Mytilus edulis: one gene and its partner. The protein of the gene in region 2 interacts with the protein of the main gene of each other region in a pairwise test. Links are inferred from orthologs where the notes say so. Each region holds a gene or a part of one and is shown on either strand. Other genes may lie near its edges.

What was found. The genes of interacting proteins can lie anywhere in the genome.
Region 1: the proteins of vacuolar protein sorting-associated protein 33B-like (region 2) and spermatogenesis-defective protein 39 homolog interact in binary tests that used the Homo sapiens proteins (3 or more experiments, as listed by UniProt). The link is inferred for Mytilus edulis from reciprocal best matches to the Homo sapiens genes VPS33B and VIPAS39.

The regions. Positions count from the first base shown.
Region 1 is NC_092346.1:44,775,028-44,783,094, forward strand, and holds the start of spermatogenesis-defective protein 39 homolog, read right to left. Parts: upstream 3,023-8,067; 5' UTR 2,910-3,022; coding exon 2,892-2,909; intron 1-2,891.
Region 2 is NC_092347.1:44,636,061-44,643,825, forward strand, and holds the start of vacuolar protein sorting-associated protein 33B-like, read right to left. Parts: upstream 3,052-7,765; 5' UTR 3,031-3,051; coding exon 2,896-3,030; intron 1,218-2,895; coding exon 1,137-1,217; intron 1-1,136. UniProt on the Homo sapiens protein: May play a role in vesicle-mediated protein trafficking to lysosomal compartments and in membrane docking/fusion reactions of late endosomes/lysosomes.

The DNA of each region.
Region 1 (8,067 bases), on a different chromosome or scaffold from region 2:
TTTCTTTTTTGCACGTTCTGTTAATGGGAGTGTCTTTTTACCATAGAACACCACAGATTATCACAGAACACCACATTTTATTCAAAGCGTGTATATTGATTGGTGACTGTGGAAACTGTGCAGTAATTTTTTTTTTCTCAAAACTATTTTTTTAAATGTTTATTTTAGAGTTTAATTATGCCAATGTTAGTTGAGTGTTTAAAAGGTCTCCAAACATAAAAAAAAATATGCCAAATAACAAAACAATTATGATAATTTTTATCTCATTCAGTTGATCGTCATGTCATTGGTGTAACCTGATTCAAAGAATTAATATAATTTTGAATAATAAGATTTTCATTTTATAAAGTAATTTTAATGTTCTGTTGTGTATTTCAGTAGTTTTATTGTAATTTGTGTAGTTCTGTGGTATAATTTGAGTGTTCTGTGGTATTCTGTGCTGTTTTGTGGTAAAAAGACACTACGTCTGTTAATCTATACTGAGATTCAAAAGGGGGAGGGTTGAGATCTAGAAGTACAAAAGTTAGTTTTACCCAACCACATTTCCATATACATTTACAGTTTATTTCTTCCTCTGTGATATGTTATCCTGGGGATAATTGGATAATTTGTCACCATAATTTCTTTCCAGACATGGCATTTCACAGGTAGATTTTTTTTCCATAGGAGTGAAATTCTATCTGTCTTCTGCGGATAGTATTTACCAGTACAATGTACATGTATATATATTTTCTGTTCCATATTTCACAGAACCTTGTGAAATAGAGTCCCATTGTCTACTATGTGAGGAACTCACAATCAATATGTATACCTGACCAAATATTTATAAATGTTTTCACCAAGATAGTTCATATTTGCATAATCTATCAATCAAAGGGAGGTAATTATGAGCCATTTATATTTTAGATATTATATTTCGTAAATTAATCTATTTCATATTAAAATTTTTCCTTTATTCTTAATTTTTTAAACTAATTTATATAAACAGATGAATTAAAACATTACTAAATAAGACATAAAATATTTCACAGGTAAATACTATCCACAGGCACTTGTTTCTATCAATGGGAAGACCCACTATCAACGTGAAATTATTTCTGATTTTAATACATGTACATATATTTTGTTTTTTATTTACAATTTAGCTTACATTGAAATACACTATTATTAATCCAAAGTATTTGAAAAAATATCTGTTAATTTATATAAACAGATGAATTAAAACATTACTAAATAAGACATAAAATATTTCACAGGTAAATACTATCCACAGGCACTTGTTTCTATCGGTATCAGGTCTGTTCGCGCCCAATATAGTTTCGCACCCTACACGTTCGCACCTCACATTTTCGCCCCCCATGTCTGTTCGCACCCTACATGTTCGCGCCCAATTTTTAATAAAATTTTAGTTAAATTATTAGAAATTATTTATATGAATATAACAAATAATTGTATTCTATTTGAATAAAATTTGAGAATTTATCGAATAGAATTTTTTTTTTTTTATTAATTTGATGATTAATTATTAAGTGTTGATTATGTATGATTATTGCTAATTGGTATTTATACACAGCCTAATTTGGTGTTATTGTTTACTGTTTATAAATCATGATTGTTGTTTTAAATTGCTTTGATGTAAATACTGCATGTATTTAGCTTGGTATGAGTACATGGAGTAAAACTTTGAAGATTTTAAATAAAAAACATGAAAGAAAATTGTTTTTAACAGCTTGGCTCCTTTGATCCTTTGACACCAAAAAACCATGCATACCATTTGTTCAACATGTTGTCAGATTCGCATTTAATTGACTAGAAACAGTGAAAAACAAATTATTTCAATACACTACCCAAAACATGATTAAGAATTATTCAACACAAAAAGGAAATTGTTGTTATTGTTGCCAGAATATCAGAATCAGACTTAAAAACAAAAACTTTTTTTTTATAAACTTGTCATGACACAAAAAGACTTGTCAGTATCTCGAATTATTTAGAAACAATGGCATATATATTTATACCAATACACCTACAAAAAATCGGTAAAACTGGGTGCGAACGTGTGGGGTGCGAACGGACTTTTCGCAAAATTTGGGTGCGAACATGTGGGGTGCGAAAGTGAATGGGGGCGAATGTGGATGGGTGTGGATGGGTGCGAACGCAATTGGGCGCGAACAGACCCGGATTCATTTCTATCAATGGGAAGACCCACTATCAACGTGAAATTATTTCCGATTTTAATACATATATTTTGTTTTTTATTTACAATTTAGCTTACATTGAAATACACTATTATTAATCCAAAGTATTTGAAAAGATTAAGTTTTTTTTTTATTAACTATTCAATATTTTAACTTCCTAGATAGAATTTCATGGCAATGGAAAATATATCACAGTGAAATATTTTCCTCTGGATAAAAAAATAATGTTCAACAACTTCTGTAACATGTTCCTGCCGGATGGAATTTCAGCTGGATACTTTACACTAGTAACTGTCAATATTTTGAAAACCTTGTTGAATGTTATCTTTATTGTTTTGATTTCGTTATAATAATTTTGGATAATGACTAATGTTTGAGTTTTTGACAGACCTTTAAGAAAAATAAGAGATGCGACATGATTGCCAAATGAGAAAAAAATCCACTGAGAGACTGAAGAACGAGGGTGTAAGCAAACACCACATACATTTTTGTTTAATTCACATTCAGTGGCGGATCCAGAGGGGTTGGGTTCGGGTGGTGGTGGATTGGACCACCCCCACCCCCCCCCCCCCCCCCCCCCTTTTTTTAGACGATCAATGCATTTTAAAAATAGAAAGTTCCTGAATCACTCACTGAATGGGGACATATGGTTGGGACGTTGAACGTTAACAGTGTAAATAAACAAACATTAACCTTCCTTAAAGACGACATAGTACGAGTTCAATCTTCTGATTTTACTGGATTTTGTTTACATCAGTAATGGAAAGGCGAGTAGAGGAGATGAGAAAGCAACTATTCAACCAGTCTATATTATTCTAGTTTTCGGTCCACTCTCGAAACACAAGTGATTTTTTTCCGGACATATTACGTTATGAAAGACGATCGATTGCCAAAATAAAGAACCTTGGTGGGGAACATTCACAAGCTATGTAGCCATTGTAGGGGACAGATAAAACATTTTCGATATTTTAATGTTTTTTTTACTTAAAGTTGATTTAAAAAAAAAAATTATTAGCTACATTAATTAATTTTACGATGTGAAAATTTCACCATAAAGTTTCAAATATAATCGTTGATCCTACAAAATTTCAAAAAACATGAAAATAATATAATCTTTTTATTAAATAATAATTCATACACAATCCTAAAATTGACTTCCTCTTTCATCTCAGACAGTTTGAACCTGCGTAAAGCAGAACAAACTCTATAAAATTGTCAATATGTCTAATTCATAATCATTGTTTATAATATTACATATTAATATAGTCATTATTTTCAATACTTATTATGTTTGACCAACTATGTAATTGATATACCATGAGCCTTAGGGACGACATCAAAAGTTCAATGAAGGATAAAAAACTTAATTCAAATAGTTTTTTCACTGACCCCCCTACCCCCTATTAACTTAGTTTGGGAAAAATTAATTGACCCATATGGATATATGTAAAAATCAATGTCGGATAACCAAATCTTGCAGCAGTTCATCTAATAAAACATAATATCACATTTTAAGAATATGCTTGAGATACAATTTAGGGGGAAATAACTAGATTTTATCAATTTCGAAAATGTGTTCAGCTAGTCAAAAATATTCGTTTGATGTGTTTGGGCTTGTTATCATTGGTGCAAAAATTGAGTGTAAACAAACATGTCCCTTAAAAACCATCAGTGGAAAACAAGATGTGCCCTTGATGAACCAAACCATCAAGCGACTAACCAGAAAACGTGAAGGCAGATACAATACAGCTTAAAGATACGATACATCAGAACACTTGGGGGGGGGGGGGGGGGGGGTACATAGCTGTTCAACAGCTAGAGGTATTGTCAAGCAGACCATGTGAGAGGCCCACGATAGATACATCAGTGGCATATTAAACGATGACAATGGTAATGAAGAACAGAAAAAGCCTATCATGGGAAAGAAATTCTGGTAATACAACATCTAGTCCAGGTAAAAAGACACAGTCAACATATATCAACCTTGAAGAACAGAAGTAAAAGACAGGAAGGTGACAGCTGCTATACTTAATGAACAGTATGATAGTGTATTCACAGACGAAAATATGAATGCAATGCTATCTCTTGGAAAAAGCAATCGAAGACAAAGACAAACTAAGAGTAACAGCAAATGGCATAAACAAACTACTTAGAAAGCTGGACACATAAAACAAACTGTAGGGCCAGACATGATACCATCTCGGATCCTAAAAGAGGCAGCGGACAAAATATCACCATTCCTGACAAACATATCTTACCAGACCGGCTTTGGTATCTGGGACAGTACCACTAACTGGAATCTAGCTAACATCACAGCTATCTACAAGAAAGGTGATCGCACACGAGCATTCAACTACAGGCCCGTCTCTCTAAGCTCTATATGCTGTAAAACAATGAAACACATCATTTACCGCCATGTAATGTACCACTTGGAAAAAAAGCATTTTAGGGGACTACGAACACGGTTCCAGACAACATTGCTCCTGTGAAACTCAACTGTTCAGTAAACATCATAGATTCAGTCGCACGATCTTTGGATATGATAGAGCAAGTAGATATGCTAGCTCGTCTTATATTTTTCAAAGGCATTTGACACAGACCACATTAGCGGCTATTACAGAAAATGAGCTACTACGGTATCCGAGGAGATGCTCTGAGCTTGATAAGCGCATGGCTTACAAACGAAATCAACGAGTTTGTGTAGAAGGCGAAATTAGTGAGACGAAAGCAGTACGTTCCGGTGTATCCCAGGTGACGTTCTTTGGACCCCTATGTTTCCTGCTGTAAGAAGGAACGTAAATAAGTGTCCACAAGATGTACACGCAGAAAAGGAGCCAGGCTTATACTCCCGTATAACATCCTACATGGAGAAACATCGGTCATCATTCCAGATTATATCAAGAGACCAACCGTAACAACCAGACAATACCACAGACACAGGTTTTCCGATATAAAAGAGAGCGCATACAAAACATTAGTTCGACCCCACCTTGAGTATGCATCTGAGATGTGGGGCCCATATAAAAGGTGCCACATAAACCAAATCGAGATGGTACAAGGAAGAGCTGCCCGATTTGAAACAGCAAACCATACTCGGGAACCAGGAACTGTTACCAAAATCCTACAGACACTTGTCTGGCCAACCATAGAAACACGCAGAAAATATTGGACAAAAAGAATTAGGTGCATTATTTTTAATCATGAAACAACACGTTATAAAGAACTAATTGAGGAATTTAATTGTGGTCTGTGACCTTATGTCTGTTTTTTTTTGTTCACACATCGTTGTCAATATAATGGAATTTGATGCGACTGGCATACAAGTGAGAGGTTAAGCTAGATATAAAACCAGGTTAAATTTAATCCACCATTTTCTACATAAGAAAATGCCTGTACCAAGTCAGGAATATGACAGTTGTTATCCATGACCCCCAATTAGAGTCATCCAATTGTTTGATGTTACGGTAAGGGACTTTCCGTTTTAAATTTTGCTCGGAGTGCAATAATATTGTTTTTTACTTTTCGCAAACTAGTTTGAAACATAAAACCAGTTTGTCCATTGCAATCATTTGGTTGTGGTATCTGCAGATCAGATAAGGTGCTGCCAGGATTTAAAACTATTGAAATAACACATTTTTTTCTGCATGCAGAGAATATTTCACATTGTAGAAATGTATAGATAAACCTTAACTCTGGTGAACTGCATACATGTATATTTCTGACTTGCCGAACAAATTTTCGAAATTAAGGATATGCAATTACTTCCCCTAAATTGTATCTTAAGCATATTTTGAACTTATGATGTAATGATTAATTATTAATTAACTATTTAACATTATTACATTACTAAATATAATTTTAAATAGAAAACTTTTTGAAATCAATTATTTAATCTTGTTTGCATTAATGCAAACACATATTTGATATATACCGCTTTGAGAATTATAATTGTATCTTATATATGAAAAAGGAACACAGTTTTCCATTAGACGGACGGATGGGAGCCGTGGTATGACGTAAAAATGCACGTGATACCCCCGCTCGCTTATATAAATAAAATTTGTGTCGGCCTTTGTGCAAGGCTAAATAATGTATACCGAGTCAATATAAAAAAATTCAGGCCATCATCAAGTAAACCTTCAAGACCTGTTGGTGACCTTCTGCTGTTGTCTGCTCTATGATCGGGTTGTTGTCTCTTTGGCACATTCTCCATTTCCATTCTCAATTTTACTCTTCTATATTTCAAAGTAATGATGATCAATGATGTCCAAAAAAAAATGTTATAATTTTGCATTAAGCATTGGATCTGAAATTGCACCAACGGTTATAAAATGTGCAACTTACGTTACTTGCTGAATATATGTTATTGCTTAAAAATACAAAATCAACTTTAATTTTTTATAAATGAATGCAAAATTCAAACTATAGTACTTTAGAAATTTTATCCGACACTAATTAATGGTACAATAAAAATACTTTGCTGAGCGCAGCCTGATACGACCGCAGAGGTTGAACCCTGAACAGTTGGGCCAAGGTAGGCACTTAAAGTTAACCATCGAGAGACGTTAACCACCGAGAGTCGGTTTTTAGACCCGCCCAGTGCACTTAAGCACGCCTACTTTTGGAGCTCTTTAGTATGAAGATAAGAAAAATATACGAAATTACGGAACTGTGTACCTTGTTTTATCCTTCTTGTTGGTGTTTATTGCGCATGCGCACAAAGCACGGTGATAGTTACGGTTACTGACTCAGGAACCTTGTATTATATACCTCGGTTTACAGACGTTTAATAAACTGGATCCCTGTTGTGTTCACTTATCGATACACTACGATGGAATTACGGACCAGTTTAACATAAACATGGTAAATAGATAGACAGCTGATAATCATAATTGATTAAGAAATAACCTGGAAGAAGAAATGAGTTAACTATTGATTATAACAGAGATGAGAATGCCATCGTGTTTGTTCTGCTAAAAAAAGCAGGAACATTGGAGTTTATGGTTAGATTTTAAATATTTCTTGTCTCCAAACTGGGTAAATTTGATATATAGTAACAACCCCCCCCTTTTTTTTTTAAATAACTCGAGAACCACACATCGCGCTCGCTTAACAAAGTAACAATAAGAAATAATTATTGTTAGTTTCAAGAATAATTAATCGTCAAAACTTATCCCCTCCCCGACATCAAAGGAAGTTAAATGTATTATCCCAAAATTAGACCAAATTATTATGATGGATGGGGTTAAATGATTAAAGAATAATGCCCTTAAAAAATGAAGATTAGAGAATAATGGGCCAAAAAATTGAAGATTAGAGAAAAAAAGGGTTAATTTTTGGAAGATTAGAGAAAAAAGGGGTTAATTTTTTAAAGATTAGAGAAAAAAGGGGTGAAAATCAAATGTTTACAGAATAACAGACCCCCTCATCCAGACCCTCTATTATGATATAAGGACGTCTTGACAGGCTATTATTTTATTTTGTTTTGTTGGGTTTTTTTTTTGCTTTGACGTCTTCCTCCTGTATGAAAAAAACATAATATACCCCCCCCCCCCCCCCTTTTTCCCCATAATATATTTTTTTAAGAAGTCATAATTATTTGGACTACCCCTGAATATATTTCAGACAGACTCTTCTCTAAAAAAATGTAAACATGATTTTAGAGAAATCTTTGGAATAGTTTTTTAAATGATTTAATTATTATGTCATGTATATAATTAACATTAACATAGTTATAAACTGAGACTACTAGTATAACACATAGTGTTATAGTAGTCTCAGCTATAAACTTTCCATTGTATTGACCAATATGACTAACTCATATGCTCTTTCCCATAAATGTCACAATATCAATATATTACAGTAAAAC
Region 2 (7,765 bases):
CCTGAGATCACCCCTAGTTTTTGGTGGGGTTCGTGTTGTTTATTCTTTAGTTTTCTATGTTGTGTCATGTGTACTATTGTTTTTCTGTTTGTCTTTTTCATTTTTAGCCATGGCGTTGTCAGTTTGTTTTAGATTTATGAGTTTGACTGTCCCTTTGGTATCTTTCGTCCCTCTTTTTTTATAGCCAATTATATAGACAAAAGCCTCTGGCCTTTGTTAGTCTTGTATGATTTTAAATTTTAGTTTCTTGTGTATAATTCGGAGTTTAGTATGACGTCCATTATCACTGTACTATTATGCATATTTTAGGGGCCAGCTGAAGGACACCTACGGGTGCGGGAATTCTCGCTACATTGAAGACCCATTGGTTGCCTTCGGCTGTTGTTTGCTATATGGTCGGGTGGTTGTCGCTTTGACATATTCACCATTTCCTTTCTCAATTTTACAATAACTGTATAGTGTAATTAAATATCAGCTGTATTTGTAAGAGGTTAAGAAACAGGTGTAATGCAAGCTTTAGCTTGCAGACGAAACATGTGTCTGGCCTATTAAATTATAATCCTGGTATCTTTACTAACTATATATAAAATAAAAAGTGGACCAATTAATCATGATTAAAGTACATTTCTTTGCTGAAATCATAAAAATGTAAATATCATTCCATAAACATGATAAAATGTATACATATAGTGGACCAATTACTCATACTTTGGATTGATTAATATTTATTAAATACCAATTTTTGTGGATTCTATGGGTACAGGTGAATCACATTTTAAAGATTATTAAAAAGGAACTTGTTATAGCTTTGTATGAGGACTGGGGAATATGGTCAGGAGCCTGTAATTCAGTAGTTGTTGTTTGTTTATGTGATACATTTTTATTTTTGGTTCATTTTTTATATAAATAAAGCAGTTATTTTTCTCGTTTGAATTGTTTAACATTGTCATTTTGAGGCCTTTTATAGCTGACTATGTGGTATGGGCTTTGCTCATTGTTGAAGGCTGTATGGTTACCTATATTTGTTAATTTCTGTGTCAATTTGGTCTCTTTTGGAGAGTTGTCTCATTGGCAATCATACCACATCTTCCTTTTTATATATAGTATCAATAATAATATATCCGTTATAATAATACCTTAAGCATTGTAGCTCCAGCCACTCTGTCTAATGGTTTCATAAGCTCTTTATCCAGTACTAAATCTTTCTTTCCTTTGAACTGTTAAAAAAATAATAATTCTTAAATTACCAGATTGTCTCTATTTATAATTTCTTTTCATCAAACTAAATGTCTATACATAATGAAATAATTTAATTTTGGATGTAACGCGTCTTCTGATTGGCTGGCGTTATTTTGTTATCAGCCCATAGACATAATTTAGTCATATGACCGAGACGTCATCAACATTTTTCATGGTTTTCTACAGTTTAACATGGAATTTAGAATTGGAATTTAGAATTAAATTATAAGAAATGAATGCAATATTTTTTCTGTCTATTCGAAATAACATAAAAAATGTAGTGCTCACTGTTAAATAACCCGCTACGCGCGTTAATCAATGTGAACCAAATTTTTTATGTTATTTCTTCATAGACAGAAAAAATATTAGAGTCATTCCTTAAATAATTAAAATATGAATGTAAATTAACATCTTAGAGATACATTATTGTAATCAATATTGTTTTCATTTATACCTACAGTGGCGGATCCAGAAATTTTCATAAGTTGGGGCCCACTGACGGACCTAAGAGGGGGCCCGCTCCAGTCATGCTTCAATGATTCCCTATATAAGCAACCAAATTTTTTCCCAAAAAGAGGGGGCCCGGGCCCCCTGCCCCCCTAAATCCGCCTCTGACATAAAAATGTGAACATTCAAAATTTGTGAACAGGCAAAAAGGGCTGACTTATTTTTTTTCTTAAAATTTTAATATAAATATAAGGTGTTGTTTACCTACTATGTTTGTGGGTAGTGACATCAAGGCAAGCAAATGTGAACTTTTAGTGGTTTTGAACTAGCTGTCAAAAACTGTGAGTACTCTCAGTTCAGTACTTAGAGTCTTTTTGATGTTGCAATTGGGATGTACAAGTTCCTGGCTATTTTTGTAATATGTATTTCTATTTGTATCCTGCTTAATCCATCAGATGAGTGGAGCCTCTTTCAACTGATTTTTTATAGTTCATATGTTTTACTTTTACACCACTGTTCCAGGTTAGGGGAAAGGTTTGCATCCTGCCAATATGTTAAACCCCGACAAATTCTGTATACACGTGTATGTATCTGTCCCAAGTCAGGAGTCTATAGTTCAGTGGTTGTCCTTTGTTATAAGTTACATACAATTGTTTTTCGTTCATTTTTTGGGTTTTTTCAAATTATTTTTTTACAGTCTTATAAACCCAAAAATCGATTAAGAAAGAAGTTTAATTCTAGAAATTTTTAGTACTTGTACATCTTAGTTTTTTTTTCATTTTCTTAGACTAAAACAAAACATCCCCTTATCTCTAAGTCTCAGAGAGGCAGTCCAATATTTTTGTGATGCCCCTCATTTGGAGTGGTTCTCAACCTGTTACATGTACATGTTGTCAACATGGTCAACAGAAATAACAAAATTTCATCTCCAACATGGATTTCCAAGTTATCTAGACTTGTTTTTTTTTTAAAGGGGTCTCAATTAAACAGTGTGAATGCAGAGTTTCAAGTTATTTCTAATTAAGCATTCGACAGAAAATCAGATAAGAAAACAGAGCTCTCTGAACTCCGAATCCACTAAATCATTTAAGGCCAAAAAGTAAAATATCCTAACTTCACTCCAGATTTATTGTGATTTCTCGTTTTCAATGTCATAATACTTGTGGTACAATGTATGTAATAAACACTTTTAAATCTGATATTTCGTACAGAATCAAGCAGGGATGCAAGGTCATTTCGAACCATATCTCGTATTCTTTGAACATTTGGAAAATTTGTTGTTGATCCAGCCATTTTCTTGAAAATGAAAGCAGAACTAATTGTAATCCAAGTTCCGTGTACCATTGAAGTTCCGTCTTTTTAATTTTAAATATGGTATGTGTTTCAGTCGTGTTTTAAAGTATAGTGTTAATAGTTTCCGAAAGAAAACACATCAAAATGTATTATCGGAGCATAATATTATAAGTTCAACAATTTAAGTCTTGGTTTCAGTTGTCATGGTTTTTTGGAATTTAATGGATTTCAACAGAGACATATATATGTTGTGTACAAGTTATCATTTTGTACAAATTATAATTTGTACAAAAACATTGTACAAATTATAATTTGTATTTTGACTTTGTACAAATTGTAATTTGTACAAAAAGTGCCTGTACACATTATAATTTGTACAAAATAAGGCTTAATTTCACTTATAACTTGTACAATATTTTACATAGAATAAGTTTCAAATTAATTGATAAAAAATCATTTTCATTTTAATTACGAATCAATATGAGACACACTGATAACTCTATTTACAATACTATACAATAATATACAATGCTCTTATTTGTTGGAGCAGGTGAGCGAACCATGACACCTTGATTTACACAATACATTCTGCTTTTTGCATTTACAATTCGAATTGTTACAAACGCCTTTACATTTGCAAGAGAGATAACCCTGTCCACCAGTTTTTAAACAAAAATTCATAGCTTCCCTTAGGGAAAGTTTCAATCTGGAATTTGTGTAACGGACAAAGAAGAGTCACTGATTGATTCTAGTTGGTTTCTGCTTAAGACTCCTGATAAATTACCAGCTATTGTTCTTACACCATAGCCAAAATTTCCTACTTCCACACCAAAGAGAAGAAAAATGTCAAGTAATTTATAAGCGACTTTAGCAGCTCTTTTAGATTTCAGAGCTCTAAGGACGCTTTTAATAAGATGATCTTGATAGTGCATTATCCATTTAAATTCATGGTCGTTGGCAGATTGCAGGTCTACAAGGTCAACCTTTACAGTTGAAGTCAGCAGAAATTATAGGTTTAACAATAAGTTTTGATATGTCAGTACGTTTTCGATTCAAGATACATTGTTCACAGTTGGTTGTAAATATGCGTATAGCTTTCCGGCTAATGATCTGTGAAACAGTTAAGTTCATATGGTCTCCTGTTTTGTGACCTAATGTTCTTTAAATAATACTTGTACACCCTTATTAACTGTGATCATATAGTTACGATTTTAGGTTGATGTGCGGCCATAGTGACAGCAATCTTCTGTATGTAATACTGCATAGTATAATTTGATACATCGTCATGAACATGCATGAAAGATTTGCTATTGCAAGTTAAGCAACCACCAATCAATCACTTAAAATTCTAGGATTTGGTATACATGTACATTTTTTTTACTATTATTGTACAAGTTATAAGTGAAATTAAGCCTTATTTTGTACAAATTGTAATTTGTACAAGCACTTTTTGTACAAATTATAATTTGTACAAAGTCAAAATACAAATTATAATTTGTACAATTTTTTTGTTAAAATTATAATTTGTACAAAATGATAACTTGTACACAACATATATATAATACATTATATTGAATGAATTTTGCTGTATAGAACATTAATTTAAGATGGAAAAGGGGGTGTTATCGCTCGAAAATAGCAGCCCGCCCGCGGGCACCTTGACGCAATCGCCCAGTCTCTTATCATAAGAGGGTTCTGATTCCGCGGAAATCCTGGGCTTAAAACATGAAATTCTGAGGTCCAGGACATTTAAAAACCGACATTCCGAAATTAGAAACAATAATTCCCGGATTCTGAACTAAGGATCAATCCCAAAATCCCGATCCGTAAGTTAAAAACACCCGAACACGATGTTCCGAAAAAAGGCCCGGCCCCCCCCTCTTATAATAGCCCAGTTTCTGGTAAAATGATGATGGACATAAATTGGTAATTACTGGAAAATAGACGATTAAGATAGGTCTAGTTCTCTTTTACAAATTCAAACATGACAGTGGCGGATCCAGACGGTTGAAAAGGGGGCGGCCGGGGTGGGACGATCTATGCAATTGAATGGGGAAATGTAGTTGGAACGAACCCCCTTTTCTCTGTCCTTGGTTAGGACCCCCTTTTTTAAATGGCTGGATCTGCCTCTGCAGGAAATGGATAAAATCTTTCTTAGAAAACAGGAAACAACAAGTGCAGGGGCGGAATGATTATGAAAATAATAAACACGAAGGAAGATAGAGAGACTTTTATGATGAACTATTCAAGGTTATAATGTTGGAGAGTTTCTATTGTTTAAGATGCACATTAACCTAGATGAATAGAGAATAGAGTATAGACAATATTTTATTCGCACAAACACATTTACATTAAATGGTTATGGCATACAAAATTGAGACAATAAATTGACAACAGTTAATTAATTGATTATAATTATATTAGAGTGACAGTGGTATTCACAGCGAAGAAGAAAAAGGCTATAAATATCAACAGTTAACACATTGTTAATGTTCATGAACAATTAAAAAAGAACACAAACAAAAATTAGGTTGCATATTAAAAAAAGTTATACAGATGTTCTTAATAAAAGACAATCATTAATATACTTTATGGTGATTTTTATAATGACTGGTAGACTGCTATTTAAAAGTACAGTCAAATGATTTAGTGTTATAGTGGACTGCAATTTAATAAAATTGAAATTAAAATTTGTATTAATATTTTGTATATAGGTATCCCTTAATGATTTATAGCATGGACAGATTGAGAAGAAATGGTATTCATCATCAATTTCTTGTCTGTTACAGGATAAGCAAATGTGTTTACTTCTTTCAATGTTGGAATAACGCCCTCTTTCAATTGCTAGGGAATGCGCACTTAGTTTTTTACTGAAAACTGATCGGTCGGTTCTGAATTTACATATATCAATATATGGGGGCCTTTTTCTAATTCTTTTAGTATGACAAAAGATATTTAATTTTTCACATTTATTGATAGAACAATTCATAATTTGATAAGCCTGGTCATAGATTCTTTGTTGGATACTATTTATGTGATATTTTAAATTAAAAGTATTAAAAGTGAGATGACCAAAACCTAATTTATTTAACCAGTCTTTTACAATGTTAACCCATTTACTTGTTTTCTCTACGATGAATGGCACGTGCTCTTTCTATCATCTTGATTTTTGTTTAGCTATCAATGTCATGTATTCCAAAATGGTTTGCTATTTTCTTTGCTATCTAAATCCTATTCTATTGTCAACATAATTGTTGTATGATTTCATAAAATTTATACTCAGTCGTAATTTTTTTCGTATTTTTTCCATTTCTCACCTTTAAAATATTCCGTCCATATAAACATTTCTTTCCGTTCCGTTTTCCGTTTCCGCCAGTTAGCCACACCCGAAAATTCAAGTAATCTTTTCAAATTGTATTTATTAGTTAATAATACTTAATAAACATTGAAAATTAAATACACACTGATTCAAAATGAAACTTTACAGTCCCTGTCAACTAGTCCTATAATATATGAACTCGGGGGGGGGGGGGGGGGGGATTATTATCTATTTCTGTTTTCTTTTTACTAATTGTGCTATTTTCCTTAGGGCCAAGTCAGCTTTTCTCATCACTTTGCGTCCGGCGTCCGTCGTCGTCCGTCGTCGTTAACTTTTACAAAAATCTTCTCCTCTGAAACTACTGGGCCAAATTAAACTTGACCACAATCATCATTGGGGTATCTAGTTTAAAAAATGTGTGGCGTGACCCGGCCAACCAAACAAGATGGCCGCCATGGCTTAATTAGAACATAGGGGTAAAATGTTGATTTTGGCTTATAACTCTGAAACCAAAGCATTTAGAGCAAATCTGACGTGTGATAAAATTGTTTATCAAGTAAAAATTTATCAGCCCTGAAATTTTCAAAAAGAATCGGACAACAGCTGGTTAGGTTGCTGCCCCTGAATTGGTAATTTTAAGGAAATTTTGCTGTTTTTGGTTATTACCTTGAATATTATTATATAAAAAGAGATAAACTGTAAACAGCAATAATGTTCAGCAAAGTAAGATCTACAAATAAGGCAACATGACCAAAATGGTCAGTTGACCCCTGAAGGAGTTATTGCCCTTTATAGTAATTTTTTACCAATTTTTCGTAAATTTTTGTAATCTTTTACGAAAATCTTCTCCTCTGAAACTACTGGGCCAAACTTAACCAAACTTTGCCACAATCATTATTAGGGTATTTAGTTTTAAAAAAATGTGTCCGATAACCTGGCCAATCAACCAAGATGGCCACCATGGCTAAAAATAGAACATCGGGGTAAAATGTAGATTTTGGCTTATAACTTTGAAACCAAAACATTTAGAGCAAATCTGACAACTTGAAGGGATTTAATTGTTTATCAAGTCAATATCTATCTGCCCTGAAATTTTCAAATGAATTTGACAACCGGTTGTTGTGTTGCTGCCCTCAACCTCAAAATGGCAATTGGTAATTTTATCAAGTAAAAATCTATCTGCCCTGAAATTTTCAAATGAATCGGACAACCGGTTGTTGGCTTGCTGTCCCTGGATTGGTAATTTTAAGGAAATTTTTGCCGTTTTTGGTTATCTTGAATACTATCATAGATAGAGATAAACTGTAAACTGCAATAATGTTCAGCAAAGTAAGATCTACAAATAAGTGAACATGACCAAAATGGTCAGTTGACTTCTTAAGGAGTTATTGCATTTTATAGTCACTTTTTAACAATTTTCATTAGTTTTTACAAAGTATTTTCCTCTGGAACTAAAGGGCCAAGTAC